Schizosaccharomyces pombe: one gene and its partner. Changing the gene in region 2 together with the main gene of any one other region gives a genetic interaction. Each region holds a gene or a part of one and is shown on either strand. Other genes may lie near its edges.

Region 1 (5,688 bases), on a different chromosome or scaffold from region 2:
GAGAAGAAACCTTATCATGAAGGATTGCTTGCAGCGCGTGAGAAGGCCAGAGAAGCAAGACGTCGACGAAGTGCGCAAAATTCAGCAAAACTAGAGAAAGAGAAAGCTAAAGAAAAGCAAAAGGATAAAGATCAAGAACAAGACACTGTTAGTGATAAAAATCAGATAGATGAGATAGAAAAAGGGCAGAAGGAAGTAGATGAAGAACCTGTTTCTGAACCCACCACTTCGCCTATTTTACCTCCAAAAAATCAAGAGCCAATTCGTATGGGAGGATTCACCGTTGTTAATAGATCCTCTAATGCTTAAAAAGAGCTTTCTGATGCAGGCATCAGATCAATGAGGCAATGCTTAAACTTTGTGTCTCAATATTAAAGGTTGGATTAGAAACTAATAGTTTGTCCACAATATATTTTCCTCCTCCTTGCCATTTGCAAAACTTTTTCAAGGTTCCGTTTTCTCTTCACATTATTTACTACCATTTATTCTTTTTTTTTGACTTAAAGTCATAAGATTATCAAAGCAAAAATTTTGAAAGACAATTAAGCGAATGTGTGATTTGAAAGTGGAATTAAGGCAATTACCAGCTGGTTTGTGATTAAACAATGACAACACGAGTTCGATTAATAAGTGTTTAATTTTTTTTTCTTTTTTTTCCAACTTTTTTTTGAAATACTGATTTGGAAAAGAGATTCGTGGTAACGACGAATGATTGTATTTTTTATCAGGGAGAAACTTTTTGCGATTATTTGAATATTTCTCTTCATTCTTTGATAATCTTTAATGATAAACTGTTGTATTTTTTATATATTTCTAACCCCAAGTCCTTTCTTATTTGCTGATTTGGTGTTTATAGAAGCCATCACTGTACGCTTGTTACTATGTTTACATTCACCGGAGTCCAAAATGTAAACACCATGGGTATTGTTTATGTTTACACTCCCTTTTTCTCCAAACATATTAATGATTTTGTGAACAGTTGTGTTTTCGTATTTTAGTGAAATTGCATATTACAAAATATCAAAACAGAAAAAAGAAAAAGCCAATATTAAGCGTGTATATTTTGTGAAACGTGAATAAAAAGAGCAATGGATTTCAACAAAATTGGTGACGAAAATGTCGTTTTCCAAATCTTTAAATTGGAGATGCTAATAATGTCGGAATTTCCTAGCTTTATCGAAGAAAAAGATAAACTTTTATGTCTCAACGTCTTAGCAAATCTTCTAGGAGGAATATTTGAAAACGAGGATAAAATAATTCCCAATTATAAAGAAGCCGTCATAGCGGCTCTCTTTGAACGTTTATTGCTATCTTCAAATCAAAAAAGTACCAGTAAAAGCAACCAAATGATTAAATTGCTAAACAATTCGTTAGCACATAATAACGGTTTGCCATCTCAAAGATGCAACCACGATTCAAAATTGGTGTATATGTCGTTAGTACAAAATAATGGTTTACCTGGTCAAAGAAGCAATTACGTTTGCTGTCCCTTATGCATGGAGCAGCACTGTATCGAACTGCTGACTTATCAGTTATTTGCAAAATGGCGAAATTTCCCAAGGATTGATTTTTCACCTGTTCTGCAAGGCAATCGGGGACCGCGATTCTTCTATACTTGTTTTCTGTGCAACTCAACGTTTTTAGCATCAGCGTGATGATTACGACAAATTTCTGCTAAAAGATGGATACATGAATTGCATCCAAATATAAATGATGATGAAAACTACTTATATATATCTTAATACTATCGTTATCTTTCATAGGTTTCACTCCAAAACATGCCAAATAAAAATGTATGTACTCGTTAAGCCAAAACAAATTACAAACTACAAACATACTCCTTTTTCCTTCAATATTGATAACATCATAGGGAATATAGACAGCAATTTTCCGATTAATGGGAGATAAATATCAGCGTATCTTATATAAATAACAATAAAAACTTCAATGAAAGCATTAATTATAATAATAATCGATAATACACTGAATCATTACAACCATCTGAAAAGAATAACAACAAGGTACTATAATTTACTCAGTGGTCTTTGACTCAGTGGTGGGAGCAGTAGGCTCCTTCTCAGCAGGGGCAGTAGGAGTGCTAGAAGCTGGGGAAGCCGTACCTTCAGCTTGGTTTTTGGCATCAGCAAGCCTACGAGCTTCGTTGTGGATGCCAAGCAACTGGTTTTTACCATCTTCATAGGCATTTTGAACCTTTTGTCCGGCAGAAGTGCCAGCAGCAGTTTCAAGAGCTTTGTGGAAATATGTGCTAACCAAAGAAGAGGTGCGGTTCAATTTGTCAGAAATGGCAAATTTATTATCAACCTCATTGGCCTTTTCGGTGACATGATAACGTTCGTTAACAGAACGAACGCCAGACAAAGCAGACTCGAGGATCCCCTTGAATTTTGAAGAAACGCCATAGCTTTGGTCTAGTTGAATACTCTTTTCCAAAGTTACATCGCTCAAATGATATCCGCGACTTAAAAGTTCAGAGATTATAGCTGAACGAGGCTTGTCTTCTTGACGAGCGGCTTGATCGCCTCCAGCACCTCCTTGATCGGTAGTAGAAGCAGCACCACCATCTTCACTGGTGATTTGGATTTTGTTTTGTCCAAGGAGAGCATCTTGCAAAAGTAAGGCCGTCTTGGTGGCGCTAGGGCGTTCAAATTGGATTTTCGCGGTTTGGGTTTCTCCAGATTTCTCGGTAGAGATGTTGGACACTTTACCGCAGAAAGAAAAGAAGTCTGAGATTTGTTTCTCAGTAACTTCAGGAGAGATGTTCGTTACAATAACTTGGTTGCTCATTACTTTTGTTTCAACTGGTAATATGGAGATTCAAAGTACGTTGAGTGCCATGGAGGCTGCTTTTAAGTAGTGATCATCGATGACGACATCCTCCCAATTACGATTAGATTGAGCCCAACGAAAAAACCACAAAAATGCAAAATTTCCTGACATTTCTAACTTGCCCTTAGCCTATATCACGGAAAGTTGACTTTGTGCTGCTTTGTTAATGCCACTACTTCATACTTTAAATCTGATATTACATTAATGAACGTGTGTTTTCAAAAGATTGCAATTATCGCGATAAGTGAGCCTAAATCAAAATGAAGCTGAAAATAGATGACAATTATCTTTTTATCTGAATATCACGATACAATTTTTATTGGTCACTGTAAACTAAATAGGATAACACTTAGATACTTTGCTGTACTCATGATTTCTTGACTTGGTATACTAGTTGGCTTTGTTCGTTGCATGGCAAAGTGCATAAATTGTGGAAAAAATATCCATTAAATTGCTATTACGAAGTAATTTCCGCTTCTACTATGTTTCGATAAATTCATAAACTTAGGACCGACATTAATTTTCCCGATATCGGCATATCCGGACAGTGAAAACTGATGTTTCTAGAAAACCGAATTTGCTGGATCGCCTTTACGGTCTTTCTAAAGAATGCGAAAGAAATATATGAATAGATTACCTCGCTTGTTCCTTTTCTCATGTTAGTCATCCAAATTGTTTCTTATTGAATAATGAGCAAAATTATCAGGTATATTGAGAAGGCAAGAGAAATATAAATGTTAGACCTACAATAAGTAAAACAAAGATAAGTTAAAGGCTTTCCTTGCTTCAAAGCATTTTTTAATCTATTTTCTCGATCTTACTTCCTCAATGTACATAGGTTAACAATATTTATATTTTACATTTGGGCTTAAGCTGCGTATAGAGAAAATAAAATATCATAAATATCATAGGTATATTGCTACAAAAGATAGAAATGAAAACCTCTTTTACAAGTAACTGTGTTATATTTACGAATTGGTGATTTGAATAAACCGTTGTACTTGAAGTTGGCACCTCACCTCGGAGTTTGTTGGTGTTTTATATTGATTAACCTACAAAGACACTTAGTCTAGTAGAGATTGTGCTTTGAATTTGTAAAAGACAAGAATCACCTAACTAGCCGCTAACCTGGTAATGTAACTGTGAGCGGATTATATGGTTACATGTTTTCTCACTTCCACAAACTTCACAAACACAACGATGGCGTCGAAAGGTGCTTATAAACGGGTATGGATTTATAATTTTAAGCTTCTTCTAATTATTTTAGTTAATGAAAGAATATCTAGCTCTTCAGAAAAACCCTGTTGAGCTTGTTGACGCTAAACCTGCAACTGAAAACATTTTGGAATGGCATTATATTATCACTGGCCCTCCGGACACTCCATATGAAGGAGGACAATATCATGGTATGTTTCTTTTAAATTTCCTTCTGTAATCAATATGTGCATGAACTTTTGGCTGTTGCCATCCTTTGCTAACTTTGCGTACAGGGACATTGATTTTTCCTCCCGATTATCCTTTTAAGCCACCTGCAATTCGCATGATTACTCCAAGCGGACGTTTCCAAACGAATACCAGACTTTGTCTTTCTTTTTCTGACTTCCATCCAAAATCCTGGAATCCCTCATGGATGGTTTCTACTATTCTGGTGGGACTCGTTTCTTTCATGACTTCTGATGAGATTACCACTGGAGGTATTGTAACTTCGGAGTCTACCAGGAGAACTTACGCAAAGGATACGAAGAGATTTAACATTATGGATAATCCTAAATTCTTAATAATGTTCCCCGAGTTAATTGACAAAAATAGGGAAGACATTGCCAAAGCAGCTGCTGAAGCGGCCCTAATCGAACCCCAACAAATTCACTCCACTCCTGTATCTTCCAATGAATGCAAGAAGAATGAACCGTTTAATTCAAAGCAAAGCTGGGTTAAAAGTCGCTGGAGCATAGCAGTTTTGGTGTTTTTTGCCCTTGCTTTAGCTCGTTTTTTTGGAGCTGATTCTTAAGATGTTATGCTTTGTATTTATTTTATTAACTTATGAAAGCGTTTTTGCATTTGATCCTCCGATAAAGAGATTAATGCCAAATAGCGCTTTGCCGTCCTTATATGTTTATTTTTTTTCTTTCGTTGCCTGTTGCCCCTTCATCTCTGCATCACATGTCGCGCTTCAATTAAAACTAAATGGAAGTTAATCTTTGTTCTAGTTTCTTTTTATAGACAATTGTCTCTTAGCAATTGCTTGATTTTTAGCTTACTAAACTACATTTTTTTAAATGTCGTCAAATGTTATTAAAGCTTCGACATTTCGGTAGAAAATAAAATTAAATTTTAGTTACTCAATTCATTATTTGTGATTTTCTTCAATCACTATCCAACTCGTTGCATATCCAGCGGCCACAATATAGGCCCAGCCTGGTAATTGAAGAGTTTTTGCATCATAAACATCTCTTTTATCATCATTCGAGGCATTTCCATGCTCATTCCAACCGTATATTAAAACACTTCCTTTCTTTGTCCTTAAAATATTGTGCTCAGTTCCACTGGCGATTTGGACGATATCACTTGCTTTTGTATGGGCCTTCTGAGCACGATCACAACGACCAAAAGCATAGACACAGCCTTCAGTACTTAATAGACTCAAGGTAGACCAGTTTGCTGATATAGAGCAGATGGAAGAAGACAATTCACTGTTATTTGCTTGCCAAGCATCACATTCTGCTGCTACATTCCACTTCTCCCCTCCTAAAACAATTACATGTCCTGTTTCTTGCAATACTGCACTGAACTGTACACCACATACAACAGCTTGAGCATGTTCAATACGCCCGAGAAATGAAA
Region 2 (8,635 bases):
ATGCGAGTTCACTAGTTTATTTCGTTGATAACGACAGCAGTAACATATTACGTTAACCTCGTTATATAATAGCGTTCTATTTATTCATTCGCTATACAAAATAGATTCTAAGTATTGTTATTATTATTAAAATACTTATTAAGCAAACCTACTGAAGTCATGCTTCATGTTTAGACATGAGCTATTTTCAGTGACAAATAAAAGTATTACCTTCATACGAATATACTTGATACCTGTTTACCGCTTTAAATAGATCACGATTTAAAATCCCATTTCGTTTAGCGTACCATCAAAACAATAATACCAACTGCATGGCTAACGGATAATATGCTATCTTACAATACGATTTTCTTGTAGAATGGTTGCTTTTTTCAATGATAAAATATATGAATAAATTTGTAGAAAAAACCTTAGCATTGTAAATAAATGGTGTTAGTTACTATTTGTTTTCTATAATATGTCTCTTCAAAGTATCTGTTTAAATGGTTAGCGTAAAAAAGCACTTCACTTCCAAAAAAAAAGATGATTATAAAAATACGGTTAGTTGGGCACTTTGAAAATCTGTTAAAGTTGGATTTTCGTTCGCATTTCCCTATTTTACTACTCAAGATAACCTTAATATAATGATCAGCATATATTAAATTGCATATGTTTTATTGTAAACGCTTGAAAAAAGAACAGACTATTTTTTATGATTAACTATACATTTTTTTAATTATCCTCAAATTAACGGCTTTGTAAACATGTTTCAAAAAACTACTAATTATAATTTCGCTAGTGTCAAATATTTCACAAGTCGCGGAGTAAGCGAAGGGAGTAGTAGCATAGCGATTGTGTTTAACAAAAGTAATGTCTTTGAACAGTACACTTTTTGGATGCATTAATTTACAAACTATTTGGATAAATTTGAAACCAGTGGTCTTAGACTTATGATATTGCTGATGAAAGCTCTCAAATTTACGAACGGTTGACTGACCGAAACTAGTTGCTGTACTATGTAGACTTTGTTCATATAAAAATTATGGAACTTCGTAGAATACGTAGACTTGTCAAGGTCGACAGGTCAATTCTCAAATTTTTATATGACCAATTACAACTATATTATATAATAATTCTATTGATCGTCAAGAAGTGTTTGTTCGACACGTTGGAGAACAGTAGCATAATCAAGGTTATTTTTGCATTCCTATCGTAATCTATCCGTAATTATGGAACCTTTTGCTTAAAATTATGAATACTTTAATACCTAGTTTGGTTGGTTTGACATCAAGTCCGCGATTTACCCGATCGCATTCTTTCATTTTCTATGCAACCCGTCACGTGACTGACTACAAATATACTACTTCATACGAATTAACTGCCCAAAAGCATTTGACAATAAGTTATATAGTTGTTAAAGAATTATGAGTTTCCCTGCTAGTACTCACGTCTACATTGCCAAAATTATCGGTAAGAAGGGTGAAGGTGATAAGGTGAGTTAAAAATTGAATGCAAAAGCATTATCAAGGTGTTTATAGAATAAGCGTGGTGAATTGAGAAATGTCTATCTCAACTGCATTGTAAAGTTGGAAATAAATGAGATGCCACGACATGTCAGTTTAAATCTTCTGTGCTGTAATAGAAATCTACTCTCATTACTGTAATTGTTGTTTGCTTTTGTTCAGGAATTTATCCTTTTCTTGAATCCTTTACTAACTATATGTACAGATCCTTGACCTTTTGAGTAAAGTTAATGAGCATGTATTGAAATCAGAACCCTTCACTAAAACCTATTATTTCGCTCGTGATGCTAAAAACCCTGATTATATCTTTGGTCTTGAGCTGTATGATTCAAAGGAGGTATTAGAGAATTCTCACAAAACCTCAAATCCCTTCCTTGCTTTTGCCAATTATTTGACCTCTACTCATGCTCCTTTGGCAGAGCCTTTGCAACTATTGAATTTTAAGGTTGTTGATGGTCATTTAGATAAGGACAACTTAGGCCCAGATGCCAAGGACTATGTTTTGTATACCGAATATACTGGCGATTCTGCTACTCTTAAGCAACAGCTCACCGTTAATCCTAAAGCTGACACAAGTTTGATTATTCATTCCTTGGATGATCCTAGCCTATATGCTGTCGTTACCAGATACTCCAAGAGTGGTATTGAGCCTGGTCCTGCTGAAATTTCTGGTGCTACTTCTGTTTCTCAGCAAGTGATTTATTCTGGCGTTGGTTTCTTAAACCGCCCTTAGATGTATTTTGCAACAGAAATGAACAAACGTTTTTACAACATATACGAATCCCAAACCTTTTGATATTTCTGAAGAGTACCTTATATGAATATTCCTAAACCCTATATTATTAATCAATTAGCGTAGTGAATTTATTGAAATTTTAAGACCGAAATTTACTTTGTAAACGATGGCATTAGAACACAAGTTATTAAAAAATTCAAGCTCGCATAATTTCAGACAAAACTTAGGCTTATTACTATTTTACGCATTTTGCTAAACACATGCGAAAAAATGTTTCTCTACTTCAAGTTCTAATCAAAATGTATTTTATTTACACACAATATATCGAGATGATATCACGCATGCAATGTTAATGTTATGCCTATATAATCAAGAAAATTCATCAAAAAGAAAAAAGAAGGGGGTTTAGTATTGATAAACGGCCAAGCTTTTGATATTCCAGTATGCTTCAGTAAAATTATGAGGATTATTACCAACAAAGTCGTTGCACGAACCGGGGCATCCTGCTGATGAATAAACTGAAGAACCTGCCCAATCACCACAAAATGTCAAATCAAATAATATTTTTTGCTTTGAAAACATTTTGTCGATATCGCATTTGGTATCTGGAAAGTCAGCTACGGGTTCACTCCATTTAGCAGGTTGGGGAGAACCAGAAGTAATGTCAGATGGAATTTCAGAACGATTAAAAAACCACGATCGAATACCTTCACTACGCCAATCAAGAACAAATACACCGCCTCCATTTTTGTTGAAAGCTTCACCATAAGAAGGACCACTAGGATTTTCAACACCACAGCCAGCATTATACGAGTTTGGAGCATCAACCCAACAATTAGTTTGTAATGCAGTACCAGTCATAACTCGCTTGATATCTTCCATTTCACAACCGTCACCTGTATGCAAAGTGACTTGATTACTAGTACCCACGTTGACACCTTCAACGATATCAATTTCACCACCATTGGGCCAGTCATCACCAAGAGTCCAAAATGCGGGCCATGTGCCGCAACCATAAGGCAAGTGTATAAGATCCAAAATAAAGAGTCCATGTTCAAAGTACTGGGTACTCTGAAGACGAATAGAAGGGCGACCACTGCTATAATTGTGCTTACTATCGGCGGCCATAATGACGTTGGAACTATTCGCGCTAATTAGACCAAGCTTAGCACTGCTGTTACGGTCAAGGTATTGTACGAAGCCATGGGTGGGATCAGTAATGTTCATAAAATCAAAGCCGTCGAAGAATGTGGTGCCTTTATATTCTTTAACAAGGCTATATGTTTTAGCTTTGTAAGAAGGATGGCGATCTCGTACAGCGGTACGATGTCCCAAGACACCACCCAAGACACCAATGAGAACACTACAAATTAAAGCGACTATAAAAATTAATATCCAAATAAAGTAACGTCGGTACCAAGGCAATAACTTTTTCTCTGCAGCCTTTTCGTTAAAGGCTTCATTGTTTTCGTTATTATTATTGCTATCAAGGTTTTCATGGTCATTATCGTGATCATCAATTTCAGTGTCTGTATGATTGTCGATAACATCATTAGTTGACTCGTTCTTGCGTGCCGGGTCGTAAATATTCTCAAAGCTAGCAGAGGACAACGCAGCAGATGAGAGACTATGGCGTGAATCTGTAGTGGAATCAGGAATACCCATTGCAAAAGTAATAAAAGTTAATCAAATTTCAACAAATTAAAGAAGGGCGAGAAAAATCAAAAAGAAAGAAAAGATAAGAATAAAAAGAGCGGGAAGTAATGAGACACGATCAAATAAAAAAATGCCAATCTGGTGAGCTATGCACCAAGTTCAGAAATGGAAATAAAATGCTAGTAAAAATAACCAAACTCAAGGATATCTTGTTAAAGGGGAATAAAAAAGGGAAATATGGGATAATGCTTTGTAGAGATGAGAAATGCGGTTTAAAATGAAAATAATTATTATCGAAAGACGATAGATAGGGAGTTTATAATATGGACAAAAAATATGCAGTGATATACAAAGAAAGGATAAAAAGCCAACCAGCTTTAATTATAAGTGTATTTATATATTTCAGTATATAGACACGCACATACACAGACTTATGAAATCAGCCTCTCTAAAAGAACGATTCTGTAATCTTACTGACTAGGCAAGATTTTACATGTAAATGCGATTATATACTAATGCAGCCAAATACTGGGTCTTCTTAAAGCAAATATATGTCTGAGAAATGATGGCTGCGAATGCGGATACCAGAAATTGTGGCTTATACTAAAAGACAAAATCCGTTCACGTAAGTGGGAGAATCCACGATTGTGCTTTTGAAAAATTCTATGAAGGAAGCTTACTGCTAGTAAATGTTACGCTACAGTAATTCTCACTATTCGTCATATGTTCTCGGTCAATTAGTTATAATACCGATCAAACCGGCAGCATTAAGCAAGAGTTTAAAAGCGATTATACTTCTTTTATAGATAAAAAAATTTATAAAAATAAACAGAGAATTCTTGTCTCAGTGTGTTGTAATTAATTCTTGCATTGTTATTTATTAAACAAATAACTCTTTATAATAATTTTTACCAGCCATTATCTGAAGCGGCATGCATAAGATTATAATTTGATCATAACATGACATTTCAATGCAAATCGTTAATATGTTTATATTGTGTAGACGACATTCATAAAGAGTGCAATGTGATTGTATTGCCAAAAAGGCAAGGCATGTTGATCCCTCGTGTCCAATAGTGCAATGGCCTTAGTGTATACATGTAACTAATAAATCGCTTTGCATAGTTTTATTAATTTGCCAAGGAAATCGTCAACAAGAAGATCACCATTTTCTTCGTTTTATTTTCTTTTCCCTGAGTTTTTTCACTTGAGTGCGGCTAAAGCACAAAAGGATTTCTTCATTCATTGGAAGGGGAAAGAAGTATTTGAACCTGCATCAATGATTTATTATGTAGATTAACGTTTATCTACTGTAAGTCAACTTTTTGTATTTAAATTATCATGAGACAAAACGAAGTACGAGTATTATCCATGATCTATTTTCATTCACTGCAAATGATTTAAAAGTATAGAGTTCACTGATGAATTGTAAAATTGTTGAAAAGTAAACTCACTAAATTGAAAAAGAATTTGTTAAAATTCGCTGAATAGGTTGAATACTTTAGTAAACTCTATATCTTGTCTCTGTTTCCAGTTTCTTTGCATGCCGTCGTAATATCTACACAGTGTTAAGTTTTTATTTCATTGAAGAGACAGATTATCATCGTAATTTAATGAGATTTCAATATTATTGATCAGCTAACTTTGTTAATTTAGCTATACTGGTGACTTTCATAACCTTTGTTTACTGAATTGCAAACATCTTCTACTAGCAGGTGGGAAAGCATGGTTCGCTAAGAATTTACTAATGGTTATCTTATTAGATCTTTATTTCATTGCCATTTAAATCGCAACCAAATCTTATCTCCATCTGTATATACAATATTACTGTATTGCTCTCATGTATCAAATCGTGTTCAAACTGCAAAAATCGCTTTCCGTTCATTTACCATTCTCAGGAAGAATTAGCAGTTCTACGAATCATATCCTTCCTTTCACCTCAAACTAATTTGATGCAACGAGTTATTCATTTTAACCTTGAAATAATTTTCTATCGAAGCTTCTCTTTATACTTTTCTAACACTATTTAGTTTATAAAAGTACTTTGTATATAGTCAAGGCGAATATTTCTGCAAAATAAACATATACTATCAAATCTTTTACCATCACCCTGCGCATCCTTAACAGTTTTACGGAATTCAAACATTTCCCTTATGAACATTAGCGGAAAAACAGCGTAATTTGAGCGGTATTATTTAGTTTTGAAGATTAACGGTTTACGCGTTTTATTTTCGTGAAGTGTGATTTTCATTTACCATTATCCTGAAGTGCAAACCCTCATTGATTTTAAGTATTTCTATATGATTTTAAACTACAATTAAGTTGCTGCTTAAAGCATATTGTTTGTCATTACATCTGTATAAAAAATTCCTGTCTATCAGGGTGTCGCAAGCAAAGCCTTTCCATGTTTGGCTGAACGGTTTGATATGAACGTAGATACTCAACTATCTCGCGATGGTAAGACAAAAGCTTTCCTGTTCTTTTCGACTTTCTTTCTTGTCTGACACAATACACTAGGGTTGTATTCATCTCTGAGGACTCGATACAAAGTGTATATTTCCATGCACGCTTTTGCTATATGGCATCGGTTTATCTCTTTTTTGGCAATTTATCTATGGCCTTGCATAATGGTTAGTCTGATTTTATAGTTTGAGTTATTGTAATATGCTAATGAACATTTTCAGGGGTCGGTTAATCTAAACTTACAAGATCGAGAAAACGAATATTTTTTTGACAGCATTCAGTACATTATTTATACATCTGAACTCCTCGTAGGAGATCACGAGCTACAGCGGTCACATCATGAAGAACAGCCTTCTTTGGTTTATCCTTCTTCATCGTTCAGTTCTACGAGCAAGTTTTGGAGATACTTCGCCTATCTGCTGAGCTTACAAATTGTAATAGATTTTGTTTTATACAAATTATCATCTGCAATGGCAAGTCTTCATTATCTAAAGTTTGTGAAGATAATAGCCTTATCTTATATTTGCTTCTCTTCGCTCATACGGATTTGTCATTGCTGGACATATTTTATTCGTATTATGGGATTATCCAGCTTAAATAAGTTTGTCAATCTATTGCATGATTTTGAAACTACATCTAATCGTGTTTACTCCCAAATTTGTGAATTGGAAGCAAATTCGGCAGCAAATCGCTCCCGGTTAATGGACTTCCTTCCTGCCAATGATCCTTTATTGTTTAATCTTACGGAACAAAATACTTTAAGTTACGAACTGTCTGGTTTGTATGAGAAGCTTTTACCTAGATACCAGCTGGTTCTGTCAAGAATATATCCGTATGCAGCTGCTTCCAACCTTAGAAACCTATTATCACTATATAGACTTCCAAATTGCTTTGGTAAATTAAATTCGTTTGACCTCCGAAAAGGTTCCTCAACAAGCTTAAAACGGAGTTCCATGTACCTAGCCCGTAAAGAAAACCAAGACTTTGATGACCAATCCACCCAAATTCTCAATCACATCAAAACTGCTTATTATGAATTAACTATAATCTCTAAGCAAGTTCTATGTTGCATACTATCGTTTCCGGTTGATTCATTTTTAGCTGAAAGGTCTTCATGGCTCATTGTTCACCGGGAGGTAGGTGACCTCTCTAATGCATTGTCTGTGTCGATGGTTCGTCTCGTTGACATCTTAAAGTTTTCAGTTGAATCGGTCAACCGTAATCAACATAACACTACTAGCAAACCTTTCCCCAGGATCATGTGCAAAGAAAATTTGCGCAGTCTTTTTAACGAGTTGCACTCTGTAATGATGGAAACTCATGAGTCTATCAGCTCATATATTCAAGAAGGAGACAATACAGCTATGCAGACATATGCTATGGATGAATATGATCAAGTTGGTTTACTGCTCAAAGATTTGCTCTCTGAATGGGACTTTAATAGAGCACTACTTCTCAACTTGCAACACATGCACCGAAAGCGTAAATAATTTTGGCTTTCAGAATTTTAAACCATATTTTGCTTTTATGATCTTTTTTATCCATTATTGTCCGTTTCTGTTATACGTCTTTCGGAACCTTGTTGGTTTTAATAGTTAGGATAGTTATTATAAACTATTTACAAATCGACATTTATCTAGGTTTAAATGTCGTTCAACTCAGCAATGATGTCTTTGTTGCTTAAAAATTTGCCTTAACCTTTCGTCCTGTATAATATTTTAGTTATACCAGTTTATCTTTACACTTATGCTTATGCTACTTATTGCAGGCGCAATTTTTTAAAAAATTAAATTAACATGAATTTACTATTATTCTATGAATTTTCCTGTTTTTATGGTCAAAACTGTTAAATTTTTTAAAGTTTTGATGGCTGTAGATTTAAAGTATAGATCGCCAATCGTGCGTTTACAAGTCATGCTACAAAAAATTTACTAAATATATAATATAAACATATTTAATTGATTTTAAAAATTTTCAGTCATTAATTCTCTCTGTATTCGAGTTTGTTTAATAACTACAGTATAACAGCGCTCCATTCTTTAACCACATGTCAGTACAGTATCCACCACAACATTCTGTTCTGCTCGTCAGCAGTGGATATGACCATACCATTAGATTTTGGGAAGCCCTAAGTGGAATATGCTCGAGAACAATACAACATGCGGACTCTCAGGTAAATCGTTTATGTATTTCACCTGATAAGAAGTTTCTAGCAGCCGCCGGAAATCCTCATGTAAGATTGTACGACATAAACACTAGTAGTCAAATGCCATTAATG

What was found. A genetic interaction does not mean that the proteins touch.
Region 1: mutations in crr1 (region 2) and ubc6 together harm fitness less than expected from each alone (positive genetic interaction), as found in Schizosaccharomyces pombe (one large-scale study listed by BioGRID).

The regions. Positions count from the first base shown.
Region 1 is NC_003424.3:1,214,288-1,219,975, reverse strand, and holds ubc6 (ubiquitin conjugating enzyme Ubc6), read left to right. Parts: upstream 1-4,027; 5' UTR 4,028-4,047; coding exon 4,048-4,074; exon of another isoform or gene 4,075-4,114; coding exon 4,115-4,253; exon of another isoform or gene 4,254-4,337; coding exon 4,338-4,855; 3' UTR 4,856-5,188; downstream 5,189-5,688. Other genes in the region: Ino80 complex HMG box subunit Nht1, read left to right, coding at 1-309; protein mug94, read left to right, coding at 1,089-1,655; RNA-binding protein Vip1, read right to left, coding at 2,032-2,805; RCC domain-containing protein Ats1, read right to left, coding at 5,195-5,688. UniProt on the Schizosaccharomyces pombe protein: Catalyzes the covalent attachment of ubiquitin to other proteins. Functions in degradation of misfolded or regulated proteins localized in the endoplasmic reticulum (ER) lumen or membrane via the ubiquitin-proteasome system.
Region 2 is NC_003423.3:1,654,543-1,663,177, forward strand, and holds crr1 (glycosyl hydrolase family Crr1), read right to left. Parts: upstream 4,535-8,635; 5' UTR 3,904-4,534; coding exon 2,644-3,903; 3' UTR 2,515-2,643; downstream 1-2,514. Other genes in the region: SPOM_SPBC21B10.08C (uncharacterized protein), read left to right, coding at 1,404-1,472, 1,708-2,235; myosin-binding vezatin family protein Inp2, read left to right, coding at 6,321-6,351, 6,412-6,524, 6,579-7,847; wat1 (TORC1/2 complex WD repeat protein Wat1/Lst8), read left to right, coding at 8,405-8,635.